2 linked regions of the Mus musculus genome follow. The protein of the gene in region 2 binds, or shares a complex with, the protein of the main gene of each other region. Links are inferred from orthologs where the notes say so. Each region holds a gene or a part of one and is shown on either strand. Other genes may lie near its edges.

Region 1 (15,516 bases), on a different chromosome or scaffold from region 2:
TTCCTCTTCTTTTTATTCTTCTTTGCACACCACAGTTTTCCTATTGATCAATCAAAAATAGTTATAAACACTATATCTATTACTAAAACAATGGTATTTCAAATTGATTAAAGATTTATTATACTGTTGACAACTATTTTTTCAATTTATCATTTTCTATTAATTATATTGTAGATAGATGTGTAATATTTTCATCTTTTCTTACATCTAAAGATAATGAATTTAGCCTCTTCTATTACTCCTTCAAGGCCTATACCTTTCTTTCTTGACAGTTCCAATGTGTAAATTCAACATGGTTCCAGATGAAAACCCAAAGACTCTTGCTTTTACTAATACCAAATGTAAGTGCAATAGCAAATATAAGTGTCTAACCTGATTTCTCTGGCTCCTTATCTTCTTCTATAGTTTGCTTCATGGCTTCCCTTTGCTGCTGAAAGCTTTTGCCTAATAACACAAAAAGAACAAACAGAAGGATAAACATTTTTAATCAAAGAGAAAACACTAGTAATTTCACACTGCCTTCCAAACCCTTTTGCCAACACAAGAATAATCCAGGCTAAGACACATAGCCTACAAATGCCCCCTTTAAAGAGAAGGTTTATTTTTAATTATGTGTATGTCTGTGTGGGCTGAGTGCAACATGGATACTGAGAATCAAACTTGGGTTCTTTCAGAAAGGAATATCAAGTCTCAATCAGTGAGTCATCTTTCTAGTCTAAGACTGAAAAGGTTTGTTTTGACCCTGCTTATCAATCTAATCATATGTATTATTTATCACTTATTACAAAAAGGTGAACAATAAACTAATATCAGAAAATTTAATAGTTCACCCTTAAAAACTTTTTCAATGAGCATTACTATATGGTACTTTGTAGTTCCACGCTGGGACATATAATGGTTCTCGTCACTGAGACTATCTCAACTCAAACACATCAATTCTAGACATTAACTTTCAAGAAGTACACAGGCATTCATCATGTTCTGATTTCAACACACCATTCAAAATACTTATTTGTATTTATTATTCATAAATGTATCATAATGATTTATTTCATTTCTACCTTTGTTACCAATGACACAAATAAACAGACAACACATTTTTCCTCAAAGTATTAAGATTTTTTTTGTTCTGGTTTGCTTTGTTCGTTTGTTCGCTGCCATGTGGGTACTGGGAATTGAACCTGGATCCTCTGGGAGAACAGCGAGTGCTCTTAACCACTGAGCCATCTCTCTAGTCCCTAATGCATTACGATTTTAACATAAAAGGTTTTTAACATGATCAACCTTCATCTTCTCAGTTCTCTATCTTAAAATAATCTAGGGGAGGAGATGCAACAGATTTTGATTCCAGGCCTCTGCAGTTAAGTGCATGTTCTACCACTGGGCTGGGCCCTCAGTCCTTTAAATGCTTTCAATCTTGTCTCTTACCTGGAACAAGTCCAGCTAGAGGCTGATTATCTTCGTCTCCCTCTCTATAGGCCTGCCACCAATTTGGATCTTCTTGACTGATCACATGAAGTATATCTCCTTTTTGAAAAGACAGCCCTAACTCTCGACATGGAACATAAGGGTCATCTGAGGGGTCATAGTCAAAATGAGCTTTCACATGGATCTGAAACATAAAGGGGGTACAAATAAGAGCAAGAATAATAAAATGGTAAAGCAAAATATCCAGCACAAATGTAACTTATGTGTTACATCAGTGCAGAGAAATGAGCTGAAAGGACATTTAGTTAAGCAACAGCATGTTAGGGTAGGATTTTTTAAAACTTATCTATTGACATCTCTGTAGACTATAAAGAAGTAGAAGTAGTTCAAACTGGGTGATTGTTAACAGCTAACAAATTGAGGTACAAAGTTGCCTCAAAGGCAAAGTAACCAGAATAGAAGCGGTCTGACCTGTGAAAACAATGATCCTAAGTGAGGTGTCACCAGGTCCCATGTAAGCAAGTGTCAGCTTCCCTGGGGCTGTCATAGCCAGTTGATTTCATGACCAGTGTAGTTGTGCCTTAATTGCTTAGTGTTTCTTTTAAAAATGCATGTAAATAGCATGTTCCACACTGAGAAATGATCTAAATCAGGATGATCACTGGGGAAAAATTCTTACCTTACTTGATCCAAAACTATGCAATATATTTATAGGAAAAATATGAAGGAATTGGGTGTTTCTAGAAATGAGGAAAATGTTTATGTTGGGTGTGGGGTCGACTACAAGGTGGACAGAGGCTAAAGGGGGCATAGGTGGGAATTTTAGATGCTAGTCTCATTCTGGTTCTTTGGGTGGTGTTTACAAATATGGTAAAGATATTGTTCTATTTGAAAGTAGGGTTCTATTTACCTAACTAAGATAACTATTTATCTACTTATGGAACCTTCTATTCTTGATGTGAAAATAGACTTTAGATTAAAATCTTGAATACTCAGTACCAAAATGAATTTTAAAAAGTAGTGTGGGATAGCAGGGAATCAAAACATAGTTGGAATGGTGCTTAAAAAGAACACACATACAAATTATCAACTCAGTATAAGAGAAACAGTATGAGCTAGAACTGCTTTAGAAACTGGGTGAAAATTACTTCCAAAATCTATTTAAATTGTTACCTTTTTGTATGTGTGTGTCCCCAAACCCTGGGAACCAAAAAAGTAAAAATTTAGGCCTTACTACAAGTAGTGGAAATTACTTTAACAGGCTTTGTAGGTCTACCTAACTGGGTGATTTGTCAGGCTGATTTTATTAACTCATTGTCTGAAAGCAATACCCAACAATGTTATGCAAAGTATATTGCTGGAGTGCCCGCTACAGATACTTCTTAAAAGGCTGAATTCTTATTCTTGTTTTTGAGACAGGGTTTCACTTTGTAGCCCTGGCTGTCCTGGAACATCCTATGTAGACCAGGCTGGCTCCAGATTTCAAAGATCTGCCTGCTTCCCTTCCCAAATGCTGGGATTAGAGGTATGTACCACCACCAAAAGACTGAAATAAAGAAAATATCCAATAAGAAAAAAAGAATGAAAATGTACAGAAAATAAAGGTTTAGAGGCTAGAGACTGAAAAAAAAGGCTGAACCCTTACCACCACCTCAGACTTGTGGCCTCTGCACTGACAGACAGTTAGTTGGGTGTTAGATAGAAAGGTCTTGTGATCTACTGTCCTCTATTACACCAAGGGAACTCAAAAAACAAGTGAGGGATGAACATAGCTCTATGATCTCTTCCAAAGGCAAGAAAATCGCTCAAAGATGCTTTTCAAGTTACTCTGGCCTACCCAGTTCATTTTCCAGCTCTCCTAATTTAAATGGCTGGCAACATGGAGGATTGTTTCATGTAGCAGAGGACATACTATGTTTATAGGGCAAGCACACATAGACACACCTGAAATGTATTACACACAGCTGAGCCTTTTATTTCGTAGTAACTTAAGGTAGAAGCCCAACGGCCTCCACAGGACAGGCTACTTCTTTTTAGTTTTTCCGCCCTACTAACCCAGGCTGCCCTCTAACTCAGTGACTGTCCATCTCAGCTTCTCAAGTGCTGGGATTAGTTATGAGCCACAGTCCTACACAGTTGTTTCACTCTTACGTTTATAAAAAAACCCAAACAAGTGTCAGGCATGGATATGCACACCTTTAATGGCAACACTTGTGAGACTGAGGTCTACAGAGCGGGTTCCAGGATGGTCAATACTACCCTGTCCCCAAAATCCAAAGCTAACCAACAGCTGTGATGAATGGATGATTTCAGGACTCTGATTTTGCATTTGCTGAAAACAAGTGACAACATACCACATTAACTGAGAAGCAGCAGTATCAATATAGCATGCTAGTTTTATCTATTAAAGTAACTTTAACAGGCCACCAAGATACCTCAGTGGGTACAGGGCTTGCTGCCAAACCTGACGACCCAATTTTGATTTCTGAGACCCACAAGGTGGAAGGAGAGAACTGACTCCCTGATGACCATGTAGATGCTGTACTGCATATGCACACCTTAAAAAAATAAATGTGTAACTGTAAAAGAAATAACTTTTATTATAACTGCATGAACAGCAGAAAAGAAAAGCTGATAAAATATACCTCAACCTCTGACACTCATTCTCAAAAGACAAAAATCATTTACTGAGGAAGGATGGGTTATCAGGAGCATTTAGAAGACAGCATGTTCTAACCCTCTTCAGTGTGCAGAGCCTCTTTTCACACTTGAGCCTTATTTACAGGACAGACACATGGAAAGGCATAGCAAGTACAGAGAAATGACTAAATTCAGAGGCCAAGTCTGTTTCCTCATGTTTCTTCCTACAAAGAATTCTAAACATAAAAAAGGTTGCACACGCAACACCGACCGCAGTATGTTCTGGAAAAAAACAAAACAAAACAGAAAACAGAAAGAGCTAAATAAAACAACACACCTGTGGTGACTATGAGCAAAGCAGAATGCTATACATGTATGAAAATGTATGATACATGTATGAAAATGTTATGATAAAACCATGATTTGATATGATAACTAAACAAAAATAATGATAAAAAATAACAAATATATAAAGATCAGGCTTCTATGTCAATTTAGGAACTTAAAACCTCATTTTTAATTGCTTATGATGTAGTTAATATGCTACACCATTTATGGTTTTAGTATATGCAGAGACAGAGGCTTACCATTGATATTGTTAGAATATTTTCAACCTTCTGGACCAAATACTGATAAGGAGCTATTTCCATTCTTTCCCAAATCTCCATCTAAGGAGCCACTGAAATTTTTCTGTTTCTATGGGCTTACCTATTTTGGATACTGTATGTAAATAAACCAGTAAAGGGCTTGTGATTGCCATAAATTTTTCAAGCTTATCTATTTTGTAGCATATACTCACACCTCAGCCCTTTTCAATCAAGTAAGATTTCAGTGTACAGACAGATAAACTATGTTGTATTTTCAAGTTATTGCTGGTGGCTGTTGCTATTTTTAAGTTGTTTTTATATTTTGGGTCTTATAAATAATACATGCCTGAATATTCATGTACGATTGTTCTATTACCAGGAATTGCTAGGTTGTACAGTAATCAAATCTATCATTTAATAGAGCTGTGTTAAATACTTAGTAGATAGAAATACACCAGAGTAATGACTTACACACATTTGTTAAAGTACCCTTCTCTATGTGACTGAGCAAAACTTAATTATACCTGAAGACAAACAACACTGTTAGTCTGAAGTTGAACTATGTTGTATATTTTACTTTTAAAAAGTTCAGAGTTTACTACATTTTAAAAGTTGATTTTTATACTTATTTAAATACAATTACGTGATTTCTGTTTTTACTTGAACAAACTATATTCAGTGAAGTTTCTGATACAGAAAATTAGACATAAGTCAAAGAAGAATAAACAATTTTAAAATAAGTAATTTTAAAATTACTTACTACAGTTTCTTTGGCAGGAGGGGGCTTGATCTGTTGACTAGGAATCAGAACAAATGTCAAAGTACCATGCATATCAGACTGTAACAGAAAGGTTAAAATACTTTAAAAATCTCCCATGATCTTATGATTAACACACTTTAAACAGGATGATGGCAGAATTCCCTCAGTCCTATACGAAAACATTTCCCATCCCTAGCTACTTTCATTATTTAGTCTTCCTGTCCACTGTTTACTGTATTGAGTTGTGCAGCTAGATTCATAATTCCTGCCCAGTACAGCACTAGCTGTATTCAGACATATCCAGACTAGACAGCATTCTTCATAATGTTTATACAAAATACAAACAGTGCACAGTGCAAGCCAGTACCAATCAAATGGACCATGAGTGACCATCAATGGCACTTTGCTCTACAGAGCTATGTATGAGCAGAGATTTGGTGGAAAGAGGGACATGGATATTTTCTAGCTTTTACAATAGATATCAGCAGGTAGGAGACATACTACTGTATCACCTCATGTTGAATGATTAAGAATATGCACATGGGTTTGTAGAGGGGAGTACTGGCTGGTGCCATGGGAGGAGAATCACCAAAAAGGTCAGTCTGGGCTATATAATGTGTTTTATTTCAGACCTTGCCTTCAAAAAGGAAAAAGAAAAATCATATGTTGTGTTGTATACAATATGATTAAACATCATTTTCAAGACAATGAGGCTAAGCATGGTGGCACATGCTTTTAATTCCAGCACTTAGGAGACATGGACAGGTATATCTCTGAATTTCAGACCAGCCTAGTCTACATAGTGAGTTCCTGGCTAGCTAGGACTTCATAATGAGACCTCAAAACAAACAATCAAAAAACAACAAAAGACTGTTCATCAGTTAAGAGCACTTGTGGCCCTTGCAGAGGATCTCGGTTTGATTCCCAGCACCCATATTTTGGCTCACAACCATATGTAGCTCCAGCTTTAAGGAATCCAATGTCTTTTCCCGACTTTCTCAGATACCAGTCATGTATGTGGAACATATTCATGCAGGTAAAACACTCATAAGGCATAAAGTAAGTAAATCTTAGAAAATTATTTTTAAGAAGGTAATTAAAAGTGAGTACCAAAGTATACCAGCACTGTCCAGGATAATTTACTCAACAGAGATGTGTAGTGGCTATCTCAGACAACAGCCATTAACTACATAATCAATCTTGTTCAACTATAGCTAGTGTGAATAAGAAACTGAGTTTTAATTTAATTCACCAGGAATGTACAAGGTGTACAGAAATACATAGAAACAAATCTTTAAAAAAATAGTAAAAGTAAAAATAAAAGTTATAATAAAACTCAAAGTAAATAAAAATAAACCTAAAACTAAATATATAATAACAAAAATTGACAAATTCTGTAAAAGTTAGGCTAAAAACTACCTTATACTCATTAGTTATTTTAAAAAATGTTCTCTAATGATCTAAGTTTAATAACAAAACAAGCTTTTAAATGAATCAAATCTTCTACAGTCTGAACGTACCAACAAGTCAAAAACCTCATTGACATCCTTGCCCCGGATTTCAATGCCGTTGATCTCCAGAACTTCGTCTCCTTCGTGCAGGAGGCCACTCTTCTCTGCGGCGCCTCCTTTCACTATCCGGCTTATGATGACAGAATCCATTTCATTACGAACTGTGGCACCCTAAAAACACCCAATATCTAATTTAAACATAAAAATGCAATTTTTTGTTAAGCATTTCATTTTTAAATTTTATTCTTTTAAATCTAGTAAGACTAGTCCTTAGTTTAGCTTATCTTAAGAAAAAAAGATTTCCTCACATTGCTAAAGTAACAACTGTAATTGTAACACGAAAGCTAAGTATTCCCCACCCAACATTTCTGTCTCAGAGATACTGTATTCATTAGAATTCTGAAGTACAGACTTCTGAAGCATATAAAAGCAGAAAAAAAATACACTGTGTTTAAAGACATAAAATCAACTTTTTTTCTGCTGCATTCTATTCCAACACCTAGAAAACATCTAGGCATAATTAACACAGTGCTTAACTATAAAGAATTTCTTAAAATTCAAAATATAATTAAGGGATAAATAGCTATATGGCTAACTATACAAATGTTAAACACAGCTATAGCCAAATGTATTAAATACTAATATTTATTATACAAATTGAAAGAACAGTGGGAAAGTGTATACTCAAAAGCTAGAACAGTAAAATAAGATAAAACCTATTTTGTGGGGCTCAGTGGTTACAGCAGTTCCTACAAGGGACACAGATTTTTGTTCCTAGCACCCACACTGGACAGCTTACAAACCCCTGTAACTCAAGCCAGGGGATCCAACTCCCTTTCATCCTCTGCAGGCACCTGCATGCATGTGGCACATATAAATACACTCAGACACATACTCATAATGAATAAACAAATCTTTTTTATAAAACTAATTTTCTTAAGTATTTACTTTAATATTATCATGACCTTTCCTTTTATTCTCCAAGATGGAACCAGTTACATAAAGTACTTAATGCACTCTTTTTAAAAATTATTTTTATTACTCTATTACTCTGTGTGTGTGTGTGTGTGACCGCGTATGTGTGTGCTGGAAGTCTTCAATCTCTTTCCATCTCATATTTGGAGCAAAGTCACTTAACCTGGAACTGACTGATCTGGCTAGGCTGGTGGCTAGCCTGCAAACTCCAGAGAAGTCTTCCTGTCAGTGACAGAGCTGGGATTACAGAAATGTCATCATTCCTGGCTTTTCACATAGGTGCTGGGGTACAACCTCTTGATCCTCATGTTTGGGTGCCAAGAACGTTTCAATTAAACTATGTATCTAGCTCCCAAAGACCAGATTTTCTAACTTGTTTTCTCTTCTTGATTCTCAGTAAGTATTTCATAAGTTATTATTTTAAGTTATGAGAAAAGGTAATGAAATTAGTTTTTCAACCTAATAAGGGTTTTGAGCAAGAGCATATTACAATTGTAACAAATTGCTGTAACAATTGTAACAACTCACAAAGAGAAAACTCTCCAGGAACATAATGGGATCTTCAACTGTACACCATATGAGGTCTTTGCATAGAAAACAATCTTAGATCAGACATGAGAACACTTACCAATGGAATATCCCGAGCCTTTTCTATACGAACTATTTTTACAGTTTCTCCCCCGTAATGGCCGATACTTTCATAAACTCTCTCATCTGTAATGGGCTCTAGCTGCATTTCCTGCTCAGCAACCTTATCATGGGCCAGTAAAAGTGCCTGTTTCAAAGAAACCCACCGTATGAAAAGTAAGACCACAATTTATTTCTGTATAGTTTGCTCATGCACATAGTATTACAATCAAGTCTGTAAGGGCCTAAAACATGACAAATATGTAAGGGACTTTTGCCCAGTTTTTAAAAATAAGCTATTTTAAAACATACTTTGTATAGTTTTACATATGGAATGTATAACCCAGCAATAATTACTCTGCTTTCTGCATGACTAGGTCTCTTCCAAGACTAAGAGACTATGATTTAAAAAAAACAAATACTGGAAACAAACAACATTCTGTCCTTTTTCTACCTGAATATGTGGAGCATTCAACAAGGCAGTTAGTTCTTGTCCTTCCTTCTGATGGACTGGCTTTAAGACAGTTTGTACCTAAAGAAATAAAAAAAAATTTTTTTTCCTGGTTCATAAGAATTAGCAGTAGTATCTATACAGGAGAATATTTTTAAATGAGAATAAAATGGCAAAAAACCCTCAAGAGTAAAGAAAAACACTAAAGAAACATGAAGAAAAAAAATCCTTTCCCAGAGATCTTTAAAAAGAACATTCCTTTTTTTTTTTTAAAGCATACTTCAAATATCATGGTATTTACAACTACAAATGAACTGTTTCACTTTTGAAATTTCCTTCTAACACAGTATAAAATCTACTATAATAATTACATGACAGGATATATGCCCCACTCAGTAGTTATTATGCTACTTTAGAGATTTAAATCCTATGTTTCAAATACTATTAAAAATCTGAGATGAAAATTTAAAGTTATAGATTTACAAGATAAATGTAATGTTGGACAATGTGTTCTCAGGATAAACTCCCACAGTTATGATACATTTTTCAGGCCCCTGTGTCTTTCTTTCCTCATGGGCAGGCTGGTGTCCACTGTGTAAAGCCCTTCAAAGGCTGACCAGATGACTTCAATCTGAGTCTGCACTTGTGATCTTTCCTAACACTGCTGGATGGCTTAACTAATGTACTATAGGTATTGTCTACTTTAAAAGATTAATGTCATATTATCTACTCTTTCCATTAAGAAATTTAAGTACTCTTTCCTGTTTCCTTGCTTTTAACTACATGAACAAAAAATTAAGTCCACTTATTTGCAATTTTCAATCTTCTACCAATGAATACTGAGGTAGACATGTTCCTCTGCACACAATCTTCTACCAATGAATATTGAGGTAGATATGTTCCTCTGCACACTACTTTCTCCCAAAGATTATACTGTGTACTCTTACTGTTTATGCCTCTTTTTGCCCTTGTGCCTCCAAACCCCCACTCCAAAATGGTACACTGCAATAAAGTAAATAACAAAACAAAAATTGTCAAATTAATGAAAATATAAGTGTACCAATGATTAAAACAGGAATTCTATATTCTTTATGGTTATTTTATTAGCAGTTCTCCAATTAAACCTTTAGGATGATAAAATGAGGACCAATTTTGACCAAAACAAGCATACCAAATCAATGATAAAGTCTGAAGAGATGGGTCCATAGTTCAGAGCTCTTGCTGTTCTTATAAAAAGATTGAAGTTTGATTCCCAGAGCCCATAGCAGACAGATTACAACCTCCTGTAACTCCAAATCTAGTGGAGCTGATGCCTTCTGGTTCCTGTAAGTGCATGCATGCACATGTGCATGTGCACACACACACGCGCGCACACACACACACGCACGTACACACAAACATACACAAACATAAAATAAAATAAAAAAAACCCAACCTACTAGGACAGTGCTTGGTGCCTTTAATCCCCTCATTCCATAGGCAAGAGCATCTCTGTGAGTTCCAGATAAGACAGGGCTAACCATTAAAACACTGTCTAATAAACAAAACATAGTACTGAAACTACTCTGTCCTCCAGTTTTGGTACCTAAAAACTTTAGGTAAGTGAAAGCTGATTTTAAAGACACTGCTTTCCTTTTGAAACTTCATGAAAACTACTCAAAGTTAATTTGAAATCTATAATCCCTGACCAAATACTTTTTGACTGCTGGAGAAAGCAACTCGGAGAGGGACAGTTTTGAATTATTAAAAAAAAAAAAAAAGAAATCAAGACTTTATAAAAGCTACAATTGGGAGGGGGGATAAAATATGGAGTGTAAAAAAAATAAAAAAGGCTACAATCAACTCAGTAATATTTTATGTAAGACACTTTTTTTCTGTTTATATTTTTAAGTCAGTTCCTAGGCATCTCTAAAATCTTAAAAAAAAAAAGCAGAACTCTGATAAATACTCATTTCTGTAGCAGCAGGCATAGACATTATCTATGCTAGTGTCCGAGAACTTCACTTACAAAGCCAAGGGAATTTAAAGACTGTTCTTATATGTGACCTGCCTCCTCCCACTGCCCAATGAAAACAGACTTGACCACCCATTTCATTAAAAACAGAGAAATGGCCAATGACCACACAAAAATAGTGTCAGCAATCATGATGGAAAGGCAAATTAAAACAAGACACCACCACACCACATATCTGAGAGTCAGTAGCCAAAAAGCTGACAAGATGGTTCAGTAGGTAAAGGCACTTGCCAACAGCCTGAAAACAACCCCTGTTCATTTCCCAGAATCCACATGGTTGAAGAAGGGAACTGACTCTTCAAAGTTTTCTTCTGACCTACATCCTCACACCACAGCATGCACATACTCACATGCACACACTCACACTATGCAATAAACAAGTGTAAGAACAATTAAAAATGGATCAGTAATAGCAAACAGCCAATGTCTCACGATAGAAATGACACGACACATTGTCACACAGTCTACTACTCAGAAAGCATCACTGGGACTGGGACCTGGAGGACTGGTCACATGCCCATCATTTGTGAAGTGTTGCTTTAATTTGATACATTCACAGAAGAAATGAACCTTAAGATTAGACTGAGCAGAGGAAATCAGATGCTGCCATGGTTTGAATGTGAAGTGTCCCCATAGGCTTATGTTGGAACATCTGATCCTCCAGGTGGTGCTGTTAGTTTTGTGAGGCCTAACTGGAGGAAGTGGGCTGCTGATGGCTTATGTGTGTGCATATGCCATGGGTTATAACTTCCAGCATCTCTATGTTTCCTAATTGCCAAGGCAATGTAGCCTGCTGCCCTACATTCCTTCTGCCACAGTGAGCTGTCCCAATGCCATGCCTTCACAGCCAGAATAAGCTATGTCTTCCCCCAATCTGTGAGCCCAAACAAATCATCCCCATTCAAGTTGCTTCTTATCAGGTATTTTGCCACACTGACAAGAAAAATAATTAATGCAGACACAAAAGAGCAGATGTTGCCTATTTATTTGACATGTTCATAAATGGCAAATTAGTAAAACAGAAACCAGGTTTGCAAATGACAAAAGGGGCTAAAGAAGAGGTGGTTACTCTCTTCAGGACTGTAAGTGAGCTTTGTGGATGGAGGATATTTTAGTAACTTGACAGTGGATGGTAGATTTCATAGGTGCATACACAGATATTTACATTGAGCCAATAACAAAACACCCATTTTTAGTAATTGCAAACTATATCTCAATAAAGCTGGACACACTCTACGTATATAACTTTTTCTCAGTATCACCCGAAATTAGTTACAGGAACTCTTGTTTCATACCCAAAGCTAAGGTCACTTAAGTCTCTTCTACAAAAGGGCAGAGTATGTGCATATAATTAACATACCTTTCCATCCATATACTTTAAAATTTTTCCTACTTATACCTAACGTGTAATAGTTGTACTGTATTTTTTAGGGAATAACAAGGGGAAAAAGTCTGTTCAGTAGAGATTTAGATTCTTTTAGCAAACTAGGCTGAATCTGAGGCTATAAAGTGCAATGATAACGAAGGACAATTATACATCATTTTGTTTGTTTTTGTATCAGGCCAGGGACTGAATCCAGAGCCTTAAAATGCTAGGCAAGAAGTCAGGGGGGCTGGAGAGATGGCTCAGCGGTTAAGAGCACACTGTCTGCTCTTCTAAAGGTCTTGAGTTCAATTCTCAGCAACCACATGGTAGCTCATGACCATCTGTAATGAGGTCTGATGCCCTCTTCTGGTATGTCTGAAGGGAGCAATGGTGATGTACTCATATGCATAAAGTAAATAAATTTTTAAAAAAAGAAGTCAGATACCAAACTCCATCCTTATCCCTGGGGGAATATCTCTTACACCTTTTACCAAAATGAAATCATATTGTTCAAATTGGTTTATGAAAGTATTATATAACTTTTGATTTGTGATTTTCAACTGTAAAACAGAAATATGACCACTGTAATCCTCATCATCTGTCTCTCAGTCATCTATAGGATCAAGTCTAAGCTCCTTAGCATTAAATATCACCTGATTCTTTCTTCTTTCCCAGCCCTGGCATTATTTATGCCCACAGGGTTCACCACTAAACCACTGCTCTGCACATATGACATATGTCCCCCTCAATCACTGTGCTCATGCTACTACAGCCCCCCCCCACACACACACACAGACACACACACACACATCAAATTTTAGAAAGTATTGCCGGGCGTGGTGGCACATGTCTTTAATCCCAGCAGAGGCAGGTGGATTTCTGAGTTTGAAGCCAGCCTGGTCTACAAAGTGAGTTCCAGGACAGTCAGGGATACACAGAGAAACCCTGTCTCGAGAAAAAAAAAAAAAGTATCAAATTCTATTTCTTGACATGTTGGTTTATATTTTACTTCAATGTTTTTAGATAAGCAAAAGCTTATTTAATGAAATTCAAGTTATAAACCTTTTCTTTAAAAAATATTTTAATAACCACAAAAATTGCTTGTTTATGTCTTCGATCATCAAAGATTTAATCTGAATCTTAATATTTTGAAGCTTTTTAAGGCCTTAATACTCATCTTTTGTAGTAAATGTTTGAGAATTTGTTCACATTATTTTGGCAGTACTAGGAATGCAATCCTAATACTATGTGCCATCTTCAGTCCTTAACTGATACATATAAGTATTTACTTTTTAATATATTTATTTCCTCTGTGTGTGTTAAATCATATGTGGGTACATACATGCCATAGCATGCATGTGACCAGAGGACAAATTTCAGGAGTTGAGTCTTTCAACTGTGTTTGTTTCAGAGATCAAATTCAGGATATCAGGCTTGGTGGAAAGTGTCTTTTACGTCCTTAGCCATTTCACCAGCACTTAACTTACATTGTCAGCTATAAAAACAAGAAACACTTCTTAATGTTTCACTAAATTTGTTAAGATTTCTCACTTATGTTGATTCCCATTTAAAAGTGGCATGAGTAGAGAGTGGAAGATGGCTCAGTGTTAACAGCACCGTTGCTCTTGGAGAGGACTGTGCTTTGGTTCCCAGCACCCATGCTGGGCAGCACATAACCACGTTACTCCAGCTGCAGGGACTAATTCTCTTTTCTGACCTCTACAAGTATCTGCAAGCATGTATGCATGCACACACAAATACACATAAATAAAAAGAAAAAAATAAAATCTTAAAGGTACAATTAAAAAGCATGAGATAATTTCTTGTATGTATGTATGTATATATGTATGTACTTTTGGTTCCTGAAACATAGTTTTACGAGACATGATCCCAGGCTAGTCTGAAATAAGTCCATCTTGGCTTTGGATTCCCTTTTGGTCCTCCTGCTTTCACCTCCTGAGTGCTGAGATTGCAGGTGTCTATCATTACTCCCAGAAAAATTCTGCTTTTATTTATTTTACTATTTTTGTGGTGCCAGGGGTTTTATCCAGGGGTTGCAGTGCTACACAAATGCGTTACCAATAAGCTACATCCTCAGCCAAAGTTATTCTAAATAAAACTGCCTGGTGGTAGTACACACCTTTCATCTTAGTACTAGGGAAACAGAGAGAGGTAAGCAGATCTCTGAGTTCAAGGCCAACCTGGTCAAAGTAATGCTATTTCAATCTCTGTTTTTGTTTTTTTTTTTTTTCTTTCCGGAGACAGGGTTTCTCTGTGTAGCCCTGGCTGTCCTGGAACTCACTCTGTAGATCAGGCTAGCCTCAAACTCAGAAATCCACCTGCCTCTGCCGCCCAAGTGCTGTGATTAAAGGTGTGTGCCTAAATTACCTTAAGTAAATAAATAAATAAAAAAGCTAAAGAAATGGATTTTTTAAATTAAAAACAAAACAAAACAAAACAAAACAAAACAAAACCCTGGAAATTCGTATTTCCTCATTGCTGGGGATTGAACCTACGGCTGCAAATATGGTAGACACATGCTAGAACATCAAACTATACCCAGTGCTCAACAATTCCTTCAATGAAAAGAATACCACACAATTAATTTCAACAGTGAAAGGTGAGCTCCAGAGCCATGAGCTGGTGGCACACGCCTTTAATCCTTGCACTAGCAAGGCAGAGGCAGGCGACTCTCTGAGTTTGAGGCCAGCCTGGTCTACAGAGTGAGCTTTAAGAGTGTCAGGGCTACACAGAGAAACCCTGTCTTGAAAAACAAACAAACAAACAAACAAACAAACAAACAAGAAAGAAAAAGGGGAGGGGAGATACCTCAAGAAATAAGTAGTCCACCAGTTCTTTGAGACTCTGGTAGATGGCCAGTTTCCTTTCTAAAAACATGTCCAGAGGTTACTCTGCCCTGGGCAACACTAGATTGCTCTGTCACGCTATGAAAACTTCGCCATCTTACGAATTTCAACAAGGAAAACACCTCCCTTAGGGACACTATGCTCAAATATAAAGTATCTTCTAATTTAATGTATAGCCTTGGAAATTATACTCTCTCCGAGTTCCTTTTCTATCTTTATATGGATTCAATGAAATACATCTATTTGATAAATTTTCAGAATTATTTTTGTAAGGTTAAAATAACATAAAA
Region 2 (16,305 bases):
AGCTCCTCCAGTCCCATGTCTGCCTGGACGCTGCTATGGCCACACCTTGATGATAATGGACTGAAGCTCTGAACCTATAAGGCAGTCCCCATTAAATGCTGTCCTTATAATAGTTGCCTTGGTCATTGTGTCTGTTCACAGCAGTAAATACCTAAGACAGGTACAGATATAAAAAGGAAAGAAATTCTGCTCAGTCCTATTATGTTTGTTATTATCATGCTGGACACTAACTTTCCTGTCTAGTTTATTTTTGAGCCCAGACTCTATGACATGTGACCCTGATGTTGGTCGCTTTGAAAAAAGCCCACTCTATCAGGGAGGCTTTTTCCTCGGGATGTTTCCAGGGCAGAGTTGAGTGGTAGGATATTTGCATGCTGCATTAATTCTAGTTTCCAATATCAGTTTGAGGGAAGCCAGGCTTATTCCCCTCCCCCCCCCCCCAGTGGGTTTGCATTCACTCCCACTATGCAGGAAATAGTTTATTTTATTAATAATATGCTATTATATTATTTTATGTAGTAGGAAGTGGAACACAGTGTGTGTGTGTGTGTGTGTGTGTGTGTGTGTGTGTGTGTGTGTGTATGTGTGTGTGTGTGTGATGATTTTCTTTCTGTGAAGTCTCCTAGCATTGCTTGCTTTGAATACCACTGATCTGCATTCATGTTTCTAGCTGAGTTGAATTCTATTTGTCCTCCATTTTGCTCACTTGGGCAGCTATTCTCTTTTTATTGAAGTTTTAAATACTTTCCATTAATATACACCCATTATCATAGTTACTAAGTTATAAAAACTGTTTAGAGTTATTTAAAAATCCAAACTTAAAGAAAATGCTGAATTTCATGCTTTATTTTTTTAATTTCTTTTTTATTAGGTATTTATTTCATTTATATTTCCAATGCTACCCCAAAAGTCCCCCACACACTCCCCCACCCACTCCCCCACCCACCCACTCCCACTTCTTGGCCCTGGCGTTTCCCTGTACTGAGGCACATAAAGTTTGCATGACCAATGGGCCTCTCTTTCCACTGATGGCCGACTAGGCCATCTTCTGATACATATGCAGTTAGAGTCAAGAGCTCTGGGGAGTACTGGGTAGTTCATATTGTTGTTCCACCTATAGGGTTGCAGATCCCCCCCAGCTCCTTGGGTACTTTCTCTAGCTCCTCCATTGGGGGCCCTGTGATCCATCCAATAGCTGACTGTGAGCATCCACTTCTGTGTTTGCTAGGCCCCGGCATACTCTCACAAGAGACAGCTCTGTCTGGGTCCTTTCAGCAAAATCTTGCTAGTGTATGCAATGGTGTCAGCGTTTGGAAGCTGATTATGGGATGGATCCCTGGATATGGCAGTCTCTAGATGGTCCATCCTTTCGTCTCAGCTCCAAACTTTGTCTCTGTAACTCCTTCCATGGGTGTTTTGTTCCCAATTCTAAGAAGGGGCAAAGTGTCCACACTTTGGTCTTCGTTCTTCTTGAGTTTCATGTGTTTAGCAAATTGTATCTTATATCTTGGGTATTCTAAGTTTCTAGGCTAATATCCACTTATCAGTGAGTACATATTGTGTGAGTTCCTTTGTGATTGGGTTACCTCACTCAGGATGATGCCCTCCAGGTCCATCCATTTGCCTAGGAATTTCATAAATTCATTCTTTTTAATAGCTGAGTAGTACTCCATTGTGTAGATGTACCACATTTTCTGTATCCATTCCTCTGTTGAGGGGCATCTGGGTTCTTTCCAGCTTCTGGCTATTATAAATAAGGCTGCTATGAACATAGTGGAACATGTGACTTTCTTACTGGTTGGAACATCTTTTGGATATATGCCCAGGAGAGGTATTGCGGGATCCTCCGGTAGTACTATGTCCAATTTTCTGAGGAACCACCAGACTGTTGTGCCTGGAGAGATAGTTAAGTGAAGTGGTTATGGACATAGATTCTATATACAAACTATCTGATTTTCATTATAGAACAATCATAAACTCTGAAATTAGATACAAGTGGTTTAGCATCTCTAAATAATATGAGAATCCAAATGAGCTGTTATCTACAGTGCTTAGAGCAATTCTAAATATACAACAAACACTGTAGAAAAATTTTCATCTTTTTAGTAGTAAGGGTGATAATGGTATTTCTTCTTTGATTTTTTTCATAGTAGACGTATATGTACTTGTTTAAGGAACATGATCAGTGGGCTGGTGAGATTATGCAGCAGATAAAAGCTCTTGTCGGCAAACCTGATGACCTGAGATTTAGTTTCAGAACACACATGGGCAGAAGGAGCAAATCGACTTCCACAAGTTTCCTATAGACACATACACACACACACACACACACACACACACACACACACACACACACACACACTCATTGTCATGTGTTCCAGTCTCTACTGCATACATAAATATAATAAAATATTTTTAATAAAAATGTTCAGAGGTGTTCAGCTCACCCAATGTCTGTACAACTAGGTCAATATTAAGTTGGAAATATGATGAGTTAGAATGCATTTTAGACTTTTTCCCGTAGAACATGAGAACTTCGTCACTCAGAACCTTAGCACATTGGGGTCTGGTTGTGATGACTATGAGCTTTGACTCCCTACCACTGTACAGTATCCTGAGAGGGTGTCACACCAAATTCTGCTCTCCCTAGTAAACAGCAAAACTAAAAATACATGATTTCTAAGAGATGCACATCCCTTTCACACAATCCTAAACTTGGCAGTCATAAATTAAACTATAAGACTATCTGCACTTCCAGAGGTCCTGAGTTCAATTCCCAGCAACCACATGGTGACTCACAACCATATATCTGTAATGGGATCTGATGCCCTCTTCTTGTGTGTCTGAAGAAAGCAGCAGTGTACTCACATACATAAAATAAATCTTTTTTTTTTAAAGACCATTCTTAGTGTTTGGGCCCTGAGCCACAATTGTTCCATCCTTTGTAAACATGGTCGGCTAAATAATTTGTGTTGTATAGGGCCTTAGATGGAATTTTTTATTTTCTTAAAGAAACTTGTCATATATAATTAAAGAACTCTGTTTTAAATGTGACTCTGGCCCAAGAAAATACTTATCAAGCGTTAATGTACTCAATCATTGAGAATGAGCATTAGTAATAATAAGAAAGAGTCCACAGTTTAATGCATCTTCATTACTTGAATATAATGCTTACTTTGGAGAACCGAAGATACATCGTGGCCTGTCAATCATCTACATTATCCAGATGTTCAGCTGTAGTCACCAAGGAACTGCAGGCTTAGTGTTATACATCTGCCTACATTTTTACCAAAGCAGTATGAGCTAGGGATTGAAATATTGTACTAGAATAGTTCTTGCATACTTGTCAATCATCTTTGCTCGTTCACTTTAGGGTTTTTTTTTTTTTTGTTCTCCCCTAGGTAGCTAGGAAACTTTATCTGTACCTCTGCCTTACCTTTTTGTGTTCTGATATGTGTGATCCACTCCACGTCCCAGGTAGCCTCTCTTGGGGAAGCAGAATTAGCATCAAAATACAAACAGCACCAGGGCAATCCAAAACAGTTGTTTATTTTTGAGATTGTATATTTTCTCCCACAAAATCCTTCCACGTTACCCACCTAATTCTTCAAATTCATAGCTTCTATTTTCACGAGTTGTTATTGCATGCATATATTTATTTGTATATATATTTCTAAATACAACCCATTGAGTCCATATAATGTCACTTGTATGTATGTTTTTAGGGTTGAACATCTGGCACTGAACAATCAATTGGTGAACTCTTCCCATCTCTCCCCACTTCCAGATTTACTCAGTTGCCTGTAGTTCTTTGTGTAGAGTGGAGACCTCATCGTTTTTCAATGTTCAGTTTGGTGTGTTTGATGATATCATCCTTGTTCAGCTCACATTGGGCAGACATGTTGGTGAGACTTTGCAGGGGTAGCTTTGATGGTACTAGGAAATATAAACTCAGTAAACTCCCTGGCCTTTGGCTCTCACAATTGTCTGCTCACTTCTGCAATATTCTCTCTGCCTTAGGTGTGGGCATGTTCTGTAGATGTATTGATTAGGACTTGGCTTTTCAATTCTGCATTTTGGTTGGTTTTGTTTTTCTGTAGTGGTCTCTATCCCTTGCCAAGGGATGTTTCCTTGATGAGGAGTGAAGACAGATATGTGTCTGTGGGTATAAGGTATAGTGCTGTTGGGGATTGTGTTGGTTTAGTGAATTAGTGGTTGTGGATTCTCCTCCAATAACCTTGATTTCACTAGCATTGAATACAACAAACCCTCTGGGAAACACGGAAAGCATTTTCATAAGAGGAATTTATAGTTCTAAATGATCACATTGAAAAAAAAAATCAGAAGGTACTCAAACAAATGGTTTAATGATAGAAGTCAAAGAGTTAGAAAAACAAGAAGAAACCAAACTTAAACTAAGTGTATGTCAAGACATAATAAAAATTGGAGCAGAAGTCAACAAATTAGAAACAAAGAAAACAAAAAAAATTAAAACATCTAAAAACTGGTTCTTTGAGAAGATAAAAAAGACAGACCTTTGGCTCAGCTGAGAGAGAGAGAGAGAGAGAGAGAGAGAGAGAGAGAGAGAGAGAGAGAGAGAACCTAAATTATCAGAATTAGAAATGACCAAGATAACATTATCACAGACACCAAAGAAATCAAGAGTATAACAGAATATTTGAAACCCTGAATTCCATCAAGCTGGAATATCTAAATGATCGATTTTCTAGAGGCAGCTAAAACACCATAATTAAACCAAGAAGTCAACACCCTAAACAGACCCATAACAAATGAGATTAAACTAATCTATATTAAACTAATATAGTAATGAAAGGCCTATAAAAAGCCTTCCAGAAAAAAAGTGTAAGACCAGAAGGAGTCATAGCAGTATTCTACCAGGCATTCAAAGGTCTACAGACAGTTCTTAAACTCGCCAAGAAGAAGAAGAGGAAGAGGAAAAGGAGGAGGAGGAGGAGGAGGAGGAGGAGGAGAAAGAGGTGGAGCATTCCCATACTCCTTCTATGAAGCTGCTATCACTCTTATATCCAAAACAAACAAAAACAAAAGAGGGCTGCACCCTACAGGCCTGTTCACAGATGCTACACCTCTTCATGATACTACACTGGCGATTAGGTTTCAACTAGGAATTTTAAGGGAAACATAAACATTCAGATCATGGTATATTCATATTCATATTTTGTAAAGAATTTCCTGGCTGGCCTCAAGACTGACAAGTTTTTCACTCATTTGTTTTATGGCTTAGTCCTTTAATTCTTATTTTTAAATACAACACGTATAAATTCCTAGAAGTATTCTTTATATATCACATTTCCAGATTAGTTTTAATACTTCTTGTCTTGAAAATGATACCTTCTAATTTTTGTAATTGTGACAGAACTGAAAAAACAACAGAGACTTTTGTTACCGTTAGATTCTGTCTGTGCTTCACACCACACATCTTCTTTCTAGATCAGTTGATTACTTTTCTGGTGATCCAGTCGTTAAAATTTAGTGCTCTCTGGTGTATTGGTTGGCTTTCTCTGTGTCCAGTTCCTTAGATTTCAGGTCTATGGACTAGGATAACAATGCAAGTCTGACATATAGACTTCACACAACGAGATTCTTAGAAAAGACCTAGAGACACAAAATGATGACAGTTCATTTAATAATAATTATTATTATTATAAAAATATTGTTATAGACATAGAAACCTAAAGCATAGAATGGTAACAGTTAATTTAATATTAATTATTATAATTATAATAATAAAGATAAATAATGTTGTAGACAGTAGAGAAACTTTAGGAAAATGGCTATTAGAAAATCAGAATGTAATTCTGCTTACCCTGCATCTTTTATTCCAACTGGAAAAATGTAGATATTAGAGCAAGAAATATATAATACTTCTGCAAAGCCAGGCACGGTGGTGCATCTCTGCAAACACCATTACTCAAGATGCTTCTGCAAAGGATCAGAAGTTCAAGCTTAGTCTGGACAACATAGGGAGACTCTCACCTCAAACCAACCACAGACAGCAAAAATACCTGTGTCACTTGAAATCATTTTGAATCAAGCTTTATAAATTAAATTATTTGTGACAAGTAGAAATGATCTCTTTAAAATATTGACTACCACGAGTGCTGTAGAAATCAGTATACATACACATATTATATATATTATATAATCTAATATGTATGTATGTATGTATGTATGTATGTATGTATATATTAGATGATCTTACTCTGTTGCCTAACCTAGTCTTGAATTCGTGGACTCTTGTGATCTGTCCTACTTCAGTCTCTGGTATTTTAAACTACAGATGTATGTCCTGACACAAAACTACAATTTTAAATGGATCAATTCTGCTCTAGCAAATAAAATAATCTGAGAGAGATCAGAGAATACCCTTGGTAAAAATTATTAAGCTTGGCATCAGGGGAACAGGAAGACATCCAGAGGTCTGTCAATCGCCATGCCATGCAGCTCAGGCAGGGAAAGAGTGCCCTCCACAGCCCTGTCTGCAGCCACTCCCTGTGGTGCAGGGGTGGGAAGACTTCCATAGGTCTGCCTGCTGCCACACCACATGGGCAGGCTGTAGACACCTAGAGGCCTGCTGCTTGTCACCACACCACATGGTGCTGACAGAGGAGGTCCTTGGGGCACCGGTGAGCCATTCCTGAGTGCAAAACCACAGGAGTACTAGCCCTCCCAGTTCATCTGCTGCGGGGTTGATAGAGCTGGCCCTGGGGTCATGAGAGTGGGTATGGTGGCCCTGCCCCTCGCTGGCTCAAACACTCAGGAGAGCAGACCCTCACCTGAGCAGCACAGTAAACCTAGCCCTGGGGGAGGGGGCGCCAGTGAGGCAGTGCTCGTAGCCTAGCTACACTCACTGGCACTCAGGAGAGCAGGCACTGCACCGCGCCTGTGCTACACAGTGGCGTTGGCCCCATCCAATCCTGTGTGAGCTACCCCTGAGGGTGTGAGGAAAAGAGCTGGCCCAGAAAGATCACGTTGCAGAATGGGCCCTATGACTCAAGTGGACATCATAGTGGAGCTAGCTCTGGAGGTGTGGGCAAGCATGAGAGCAAGAGAGGCTGACACTGCCTCCTGCTGATGGAGGCATTGAGTGGCCAGAGTAGTGCTGCAGAGCTCACCTTGGCGGTGCTGATCAGGGAAAGCCAGAGGCTGGCCGCCTCAGCTACCACCCTGGCCCAAATCCAGGGCTTTGTGCTGACCCACTCTGAAATCTACATCATCTGTAAATGGTTGAGGAGTGTGCGGGGGCGGGGGGGGGGTGCTGTCTTGCAGATCCAAAGCTGCAGGATCTCCATGACACAGGGCAGCAAGAGGATAACTGGAAGGAGTCCAAGTGAGGATCCAGTATTGATGGTTTGACAGAAGCCTGAGACCTCGAACAATGCCAATGACTCATTGCAATGAGCATTTGCAAGTGAAGACATGTGGACAGAGAGATACACTGTAGGACACACTATGACCCACTACAGCTTCCATGATAAGGTATTTTCTATCCTTTGTTTTGCTCTCTCTCTCTCTCTCTCTCTCTCCCTCTCTCTCTCTCTCTCTCTCTCTCTCTCTGTGTGTGTGTGTGTGTGTGTGTGTGTGTTTATTTTGGGGTTAAGACTACAGTTGTGGAGGGCAGATATAAGGAGATGGGGAGTTTGAGCAGTATAATGCATTTTTTAATGCCCATTTTAGTTTCTGAATAATAGACATAGACCTGGTATTTTTACTAACAAGCTGCAAACCTAAGCTGGGCAGGCTCTGAGCTATTCTAACCCTTTAAGCCATTTACCTCCCTGTCACAGGCCCCATGTTACTTGCAGTTTGAGTCTCTTCCTGGCTTGCTCTGTTCATATGAACCCTCACAGCTGCTCTCTCACGTCGATCTCATGACAAATCCTTTGGCGACCTGCTCATCATGGCTCCTCCTCGACCTTTTCTCGTGGCCACTTTTTCTCCTTTCTCATTGCCCTTCTCCTCTCTCTACCTGGGACACACACACACACACACACACACACACACACACATCAGAAGTCCCACCCTATTCTCTTCTGCCCAGTAAATTGGCTGGCCAGCTCTTTATTGACCAATCAGAAGATGATGGAGACGGGTGATGCTTCATAAAAATAATACCGAAGTCCAAGTCTGTCCTGTCCTCAACTCTCTCCCTGGTATAAAAACCAGCATTTGAATAATACAACCTTTACACAGTACACAGAAAGATCATCCCTACATTGCAGGACTAAGGTTTATGATGTGAAAAGAATCATAAAAACGTTTTAAAAAAATGAGCAATGCAATTAAAAAAAAAAACGCAGAACTGAAATGTCTCACCTTCTGCTAGTTCAGGTTCCATGCAAAAATTGTTTTGTACTACATGTTAATTGGGTTTTTATAACCCAACCAATGAGCATAATTCTCAGACCCTGTGGAATATGAAATTCTGAATGCATATTTGCCATTTTGTAATATATATTATATATACATATACATTATATATACACACATATATTATATGTACACATATACATTATATATGTATATATATATATATATATATATATATATATACAGAGAGAGAGAGAGAGGGAGAGAGAGATTATGGTCTTTCATATGTAAGCAGAAAATATAAAACCTTCAAAAATAGATGCTGCAGCATCATTAAACATCTAACTGAACTCTGAAGATTTACACAGAATCAGTTGTTTTAAGCGACAGAGCCAACACTTGTTATATAAAAAGCATAGACATGTACTAGCATAAATACCAATCAAAAAATTCAGCATTCCATTTTTAGTTAAGGGATTTCTTTTGCCCTATTAATTTGCATAAGTTAATGATGTTAAAAGGTTAATAAATCCAAGAGGATGTAACTTCATGAGCAAAGTGTAAACACTTGAAAGAAATATTACCCCCATGTCTCTATAATTCTAGCCACTGTTATATGATAGCTTATTTTTTCTTATAATTTTTCTACCCTATCAACAGCAAAAGCACTACTGAACTGTCATTGTAGGGTTTAGAAACAGAAAAAGTTACTAACCTGTAAACAGAGTTTTGAAAGAGAATGTAATTTACAAAAATATAGAGTGTTTCTTTAAAAGTAGCCACATCAGAATAATCACGTGCCAATACTGTCAGAAGAAATTAATTTCTCTATTAGGAGCAATCAAGGACCCTATCCTAAAACAAAGCCTTTCCAGGAGGCATTGTTCACGGAAGCCTGAGGGGGACACGAATCCAATCCAGGCTGGAAAAATCTGCTCCAGGATTGACTGGTTACCGTCTTCCTGTGCCTGTAAGGTGCTGTGAAAGAGAAGTGCTTTCTGATTCTCTGTCTGTGGAGGAGCCCTGGGAGGGGTGGGACAGAGATGGCATCCTGGCTCTCTGAGGCACCTGCTCTTCTCTGAACCACACAGGAGTCAAGAGCCAAACAGGGATAGCTTCAGCAGCACTTCAGAGGGTGTTCTCTAAGTAAGAACATGAAGCTCAAGAGAACTGCCTACCTTCTCTTCCTGTACCTCAGCTCCTCACTGCTCATCTGCATAAAGAGTAAGCCCTCCCCAGTTAGCAATGCCCTGCCTCTCTTCCTGGCTTAGTAGATAGATCTCTTGCATACAGTTCCAAGGAAGGATGTGTTTGTTTCTTATAGGTGTTAGTAAGTGCTCTTGTGGTTAAGATAGCGCTTCTGGTCCAGGTTTTAGGAATTACAGTAAATAGGTTCTCAGGCTGTTTTATCTGTTGACTGAAAAGCATAAAACTGAATGAAATAGCCAGGAGGAAACAGATTTTTTTCTTCATTCTTTTTTCTTTTTTGTATTTGCACACTTGTGAAATAGTTTGTGGCACTTTATAGTTGATCTTTGTTAAAGAGATGTTACTAATAAGTTATCTTGGCTCTTATTCTCATATGCTATGAATTTGTTTCCATATGTTAATAATTCTTGCATTGCAACACTTGTTCTTGTAATCAGAGGGGCGGTCTCAAGGCTTCCTAAAGGAGAATGGTTAAAACTGTACTTTTTCCCAGCACTAGAGAAATAACCATATAGTTGTGTGCTTCTGTCTGATAAACAAAGGCATCATTTTTACAAACTTCCCCAAATATAAACAGGAGTGACGACGCCTCCCACCCCCACCCCTGATAATCTTGTTATGTTTGTGGCAGTCTCAAGAATCAGGGAGAATGGCCCCAGCTGTGTGTTTATGAAGGACCATAGCTATTGTACTCATTTAAAAAGAAGACAAGGAGAGTGTGTGCCTGTCAGAGGGGCCATGTGATTTACGGCTGTTGCATCTGAATATCAATACGGACAAAATAAGGAGCAGCTGTCTTTGTGTGAGACCACTAGCACCAATACAGTGGTGGGTAATCTGGGTAGTGTTCTGTCACTGCAACAGTGCTATGAGGTTCTAACTGGTACGGTTTACAGCTGGACAAACAGCCGAGATTAGGTGAAGATACAAACAGGTCCTCTTGCTAGGCAGCTGGGACAGCCAGAAAAGCCCAATCAAACTTCAAATAAATACTAAAACGCTCATCATAAAGCACATGGAGGGAAAAAATTTTCAGAGATGTATTGGATAAAGAGTTATAATTTTAAAGTTGCTTATCCTCTTTCAAACTTATAATGGGTGGGTTCCAAGTAACATGCAGTGGGTGAGAGGTACCTTACCTTGAGATACACAGTGGGAGGATACACACAGAAGGGGGACATAAAGTGAAAAATGATGCCATTTTCTTTGTGGCAAAGAACTTTGTCACTTTGTGAAATACTCATTAAATTGTCTACAGTGTTCTTTAGAGCTCATATATGTAACTTCTCAAACATGTAACTGTGTAAAAGAGAACATGCATAGGAGCATACACTCGCTTTGTTTCATTTACTTTACCAGTAGACTCTAAACACATATTTGTAACTACTTCATTTATTCTTCAGCAAACCTTGTTTGTTTGTTTGTTTGTTTGTTTAAAGTAGTAAATTTGAAACTTCATTTTATTGAGCTTTTAAGCAGACAGGGAGCCTTTTATCTGTGTTATATTTGTTGCCAGGGAGTAACAGTGTTGCCTTTGTAGTCAGAACATTTAGTTTACACTATTTGGGGCAGTAGAGTTTCAGTCAGTGACTTGGGTCTGCTTGGATCCAAACACACTATATAGGTCAGGCTAGCCTCTTACTTGTGACCTCTAGCCTCAGCTTCCTCAGTGCTGCAATTACAGGTACGCCCCACCATGCACCCAGTAAATTACATTTAACATTAATTACCTTTTTGTGTGATACCAGAGATCAAATCTAAGCGTCCCATAAGTGCTAAGCAGGTGCTCTTCTACTAAATTCCTTCCTCGTCTCTTTCAAGTTTTTAATTTTGAACAGGGTTTTACTAAGTTCCAAAATGGCCTTAAACTCACTTTGTAGTGAAGTTGGGCCTTGAACATCTTTCTGCTGAAGGTCTGTCTCTAGAGTCTGTATTCTCAACCGATATGTACTATTCCCATGTGGTAACAGTATACAATCAGCTCAGAACACCACAAGCACATAGGAAAACTTGGTGATTAGTATCTTACTACTTGAAATCTAGTATCATATTAGTTTTTATTCACATTTTGAAATTTATTCTTTGAAATGTAAGAAAAAAGGAGCTATTACTGGCTCCAGATAAATCACTTCTGTAGAGTTGTACCTTGACTCCTTGTCAGACAGATGCTGTTCATTCTTAGCACCCTACTCTCTTCCCGTCTTAGAGTTAAGATTACACAACATGAGGAATATTAAAGCAGACCTCCACGTGGGACACCCACTTCCTGCTCCTCAGTTGGTAGGTAGGCAGCCATTTCCCTGAGCTGGGACTTCAAGAACCTGTTCACTTAATTGTTCTTATATCTGTACCAGAATCTTGCCAAGTTTATTCAGACATATAGGATCAGGTGTACTTTAATAATTCGAGTAGGGCCTTCTCATTTTGCTTCTGACATATTAAGCGAGAATCTTATTGGTGTGAGACTCTCCTGTGGCCCATTATTTTGTAGCTATATTAAATAATAGGAGCCCATTCTAATAACTGTTGCGACCTTGATACTAGCTTGCTATTTGGGGCTTTTAAGAAGCTACCATATTAAAGCAGCCTTCAATTACATAGCAATTTGTGTCTCCTTTTCATTATTCTGTTATAACTTCAGAGAAAAATGGAATCTTCTCTATGCAGCAGTCATGTCTAGATTAATGTGACTTATTTTAATTTATATTCAGAGCATGACCAGTGCATATGACAGGAATGTAATTTGAGAAAACCATTATTAGGATTATGGGCACAACATAAAAGAAGCCCAAGGAGCATACTGTGGAAGCTAGCAATCATTAAGTAACTGAATTTGAATAAAGTCCTCATAAAGAGTGTTTCCTAAAGGATAAATAGGGTCTACGAAGATAGGACATGGTCTGATTTATTCAACCTTAGCGCTATTATTAAGAAATAATTGAATTTTCTCAAAAGATCGGAGAGGCCTGATGTAATTTACTATGGAATAGCCACTTATGCTTTAAAATTCTACACTTGCAGGAAGATTTAGAATTTTGATAAGTTGGATGCTCATAAAGCAGTGTGTGTCACGGTGCTTACAATAATGCCTGTGGGAGAGGAGCTGTTGCTTCTTCATACCTAAGTAATTTTCTCCTCAATTTATAGTAAGTTTTACTTTGTACAAGCCACCCATTACTTCCCACAACAATGCAGAATTCATTTTAATTTCTCTTTTCGTACACTCATCATAAGCAGACCAGATTTTTCTTGCTTTCTTCATCGTTAGTGATTTTCAATGATGGCCATTTATGATCATATAGTTCCAAAGTTGGCTGTTGAGTGGGCAAGGCCAGCAAGGATGTTTCACTCTCTTTTCAGTTTTCTTGCTGATTCTTAGGAAGTTTCCAAGACAGTCAGTTTTGTTCTTTCAGCAAAAAGATGTCCCTTTTTTTACACCACTGCTCCATCACGCTAGATTTAGCTTTACTGTTGCTGCTTACATTGCTCTTAACTGTTTTGTTCTATGTCACATACTAAACTGCAAACTCAGTGCATTTTTTTGATGTATTTATGCTTTCCTATGAGGCTGTTGGTTGGCGGTAGGAGTCATGAGTGTTTTGTTCATGGTTATTGGACATGGAGCTAAGGTTGCTTGTTCTTTGCGTCCAGATGGGTTAGTTGCTAGATTACGAAACTTCATTAATCACTTCTTAGTCTACTGATTTACATGTTAAATAGTTAAGGTCAAGTAGTTGAGACCAAACATCTCTTTTGAAATGTATTGAATAAAAGACCCTCTATCTCTAAAGTTGTGAAATTTATATTTTCTTCACTAGGATAGACAACAAAAACTAGCTAGTAGCAGTACCCAATTAAATATTAATATTGATCCCAGCCATGGCAGCAGTGTGTTTCTTGATACTTGCCCCAATGTTCTGGGTTCCCGAATATTCTCTCTCTCTCTCTCTCTCTCTCTCTCTCTCTATATATATATATATACACACACACACACACACATATATACATATATATATATATATATAGTATATATATATACACATATATATATATATATAGTTGTGCTTTAAACAGCTCAATGGCTAGGCCATTTTCTAATCTCTATGTGGCTAATCCACCTCTCTTCAACATTCTCTAATTATTACATACTAAAATCTATATTCCATCTTTGCTGCCCTGGACCCAATTGGGCAGCCCTCTTGGTGCCACTCTTCTCTGGCTCCTACATGGTGGCTATGCTCTCTGTCCTGCACCTTCTTAGGTGTGAAATTTTCCTTTCCTTCTGGTATGATGGATCTCCTTCTTCCTTCCTCCCTAGCCTGGAAATCCCCAAATTCCCACCTCTGTCTGTCCTGCTCAGCCATTGACTGCTGGCAAGTTTATTTACCAATCAGGAACAACTAGGGGCAACGCTCAATGTCTTACATACGGACATGCAGATTCTTAAGCAAACAATTTTAGGGACCCAAATTAACATAATACAAGCAGCATTAGACCAAACCCACTACACTAACTAAATAAGGAAAATATGTACTTATGAGCTAGTGGTACATCTCAGTGGAGAAAAACAAAGAACGAGATAAAGAAGAGAACTATGGGATTTATAATGAATAACATTTTTTTCCTGTAGAATATATCTAATGCAGAAGTCCTGAGGCAGGAGCATGCCTATAGACTTTGAGAGATTGCTGCATGTTCTGTTCAATTTGAGTGGACTGATGGAAAGAGAGGATACTAGTGTAGGTACCAGTGGTGTTACTTATAGTATCTTCAAGTTTAAAAAGCCCTACATAGTAGCCATTATTAAACTCACTAGTAAACTTTACTAGTATACTAGTAAAGCAAGATAGATTAAAGGATATACTCAAAACACAGCTATAAGGTGACTCAAACGAGATTTTCAATCTTTGATCTATCTAGATCTAAGAAACATGCAAGCTCTCAAAAGCCAAAACATAAATGATCAGGACTTGTGCAGGCTGATATGTGCAGCCTGACACTGTTAGCAAGAAATCAGCTAGTATGGAGATAACTACAAATATCATCTTCGCAGGATTTGGGAGAGTTTGTTTAAAGAAAAACTGGGTCCCAGATAATCAGGTATCTATTTCATCTTTCTGCTACTCTGAGTTTAAAAAAACATTCACAAATGTAACTGACGCCTCAGCCCTGTGAGTGAAATCTGCAAAACTGGAGCTGCTGGTGTGTGGCCTCCGCTGACCTTGTTATCATCGTCTTTTTGGTTCTTCACATTGTCGTAGTAATTTCCAGATGAGTGACTCTTTTCTCTGGATTCAAAATCATCGAAATTTTTACATAACTTCATTCAGACAAATTGGAAAGAGCAGGATGCTAATGAGGCCGAGTTTATGATTGATTCTATCAGTACAGTTCACATTGCTTTGAACAGAGACCAGCTCCAGACAAGCAAATGTGTATAAACAAATTAAGCACTGCCACTTGTAAAAGCAGCTGGGGATAGTACCAGTAACCTTTTCATGCAGATAATTTGTTAATTTGATTTTACATATGGCTATACTTTCAGCTAACTCTTTCCTGTTATGATAGTTGATTTTAATTCTGTACTTTCTCCTAAAGTAATCATGAGATAATTAAAGAATTAATCTTATAAACCTAATAATTGTAGACATAAAATATTTTCTAGCCTTACTTGTTGAGGTTTGGACTGTTGCTTTATATTGTAATGCTAAATACTGGCTCTCCAAAATCTGGTTGCCCCCAGGAAGAAGATTCTCATATAAACCAAGTGATGCTATATAACCTTGCTCCTTCATGTTTAATGGTTGGTTGAGTAAAGATACCTACAGCCTATAGCTGGACAGAAAAGAGGTAGGCAGAGCTTCAGTTCCCCAGGCTGGGTGTCTGAGGCAGAGACCATGAGGAAGAAAGAGAGGCGAGTGTAAGGAGAAAGGAGAAGACACTATGGGGCAAGGGATTGTGAGAACAGGCCATGAAGGCTGGCCAGTTGGAGGAAGAGTAGCCCAGGCAGAACATGGAAAATCATATCTTGGGGTTATTAATAGGGAGATGACTCTGAAAGCATCATTGCTAAGGCCATTACAGCCGTCCTTGTGAGGCCATTACCACCATCCTTGTGAAGCCATTACAGCCATCCTGGTGATGGGTGCCAGTGAAGGCCTGGAAGTCTGAAACACCCACCAGGAAGAAGCAAGCACTCCGCATGCTCCCAGCTGGCACTGCTAATGGCAAGGATCTCTTTTTTTCTTAAATATGAATAGTTTTCACACAGCCATTATTCATGCCGTCAGAATTTGCGAGTGTCAATTTAAATGCCATATAAGCTTTCTAAACGGTGGTAGATTGAACTATTTAAAACTTTGGTTCCACTCCTCCATTGTTGGTGGGAGTGCAGGCTTGTACAACCACTCTGGAAATCAGTCTGGCGGTTCCTCAGAAAACTGGACATAGTACTACCGGAGGATCCAGCAATACCTCTCCTGGGCATATATCCAGAAGATGCCCCAACTGGTAAGAAGGACACATGCTCCACTATGTTCATAGCAGCCTTATTTATAATAGCCAGAAGCTGGAAAGAACCTAGATGCCCCTCAACAGAGGAATGGATACAGAAAATGTGGTACATCTACACAATGGAGTACTACTCAGCTATTAAAAAGAATGAATTTATGAAATTCCTAGCCAAATGGATGGACCTGGAGGGCATCATCCTGAGTGAGGTAACACATTCACAAAGAAACTCACACA

What was found.
Region 1: the proteins of Crb1 (region 2) and Mpp5 are in contact, whole or in part, in a crystal structure (PDB 4UU5), measured with the Homo sapiens proteins. The link is inferred for Mus musculus from reciprocal best matches to the Homo sapiens genes CRB1 and PALS1. Residues at the interface, in NP_957705.1 of Homo sapiens: Ala1401, Met1402, Glu1403, Arg1404, Leu1405, Ile1406; in NP_071919.2 of Homo sapiens: Lys261, Pro266, Leu267, Gly268, Ala269, Thr270, Val271, Arg272, Asn273, Ser281, Arg282, Val284, Val314, Asn315, Val317, Phe318, Leu321.

Annotation. Positions count from the first base shown.
Region 1 is NC_000078.6:78,810,785-78,826,300, reverse strand, and holds part of Mpp5 (MAGUK p55 subfamily member 5), read right to left. Parts: intron 9,061-15,516; coding exon 8,983-9,060; intron 8,677-8,982; coding exon 8,530-8,676; intron 7,115-8,529; exon of another isoform or gene 7,098-7,114; coding exon 6,936-7,097; intron 5,494-6,935; coding exon 5,416-5,493; intron 1,613-5,415; coding exon 1,429-1,612; intron 445-1,428; coding exon 373-444; intron 41-372; coding exon 1-40. UniProt on the Homo sapiens protein: Plays a role in tight junction biogenesis and in the establishment of cell polarity in epithelial cells.
Region 2 is NC_000067.6:139,370,109-139,386,413, reverse strand, and holds the start of Crb1 (protein crumbs homolog 1 precursor), read left to right. Parts: upstream 1-9,337; 5' UTR 9,338-9,503; coding exon 9,504-9,573; intron 9,574-16,305. UniProt on the Homo sapiens protein: Plays a role in photoreceptor morphogenesis in the retina. May maintain cell polarization and adhesion.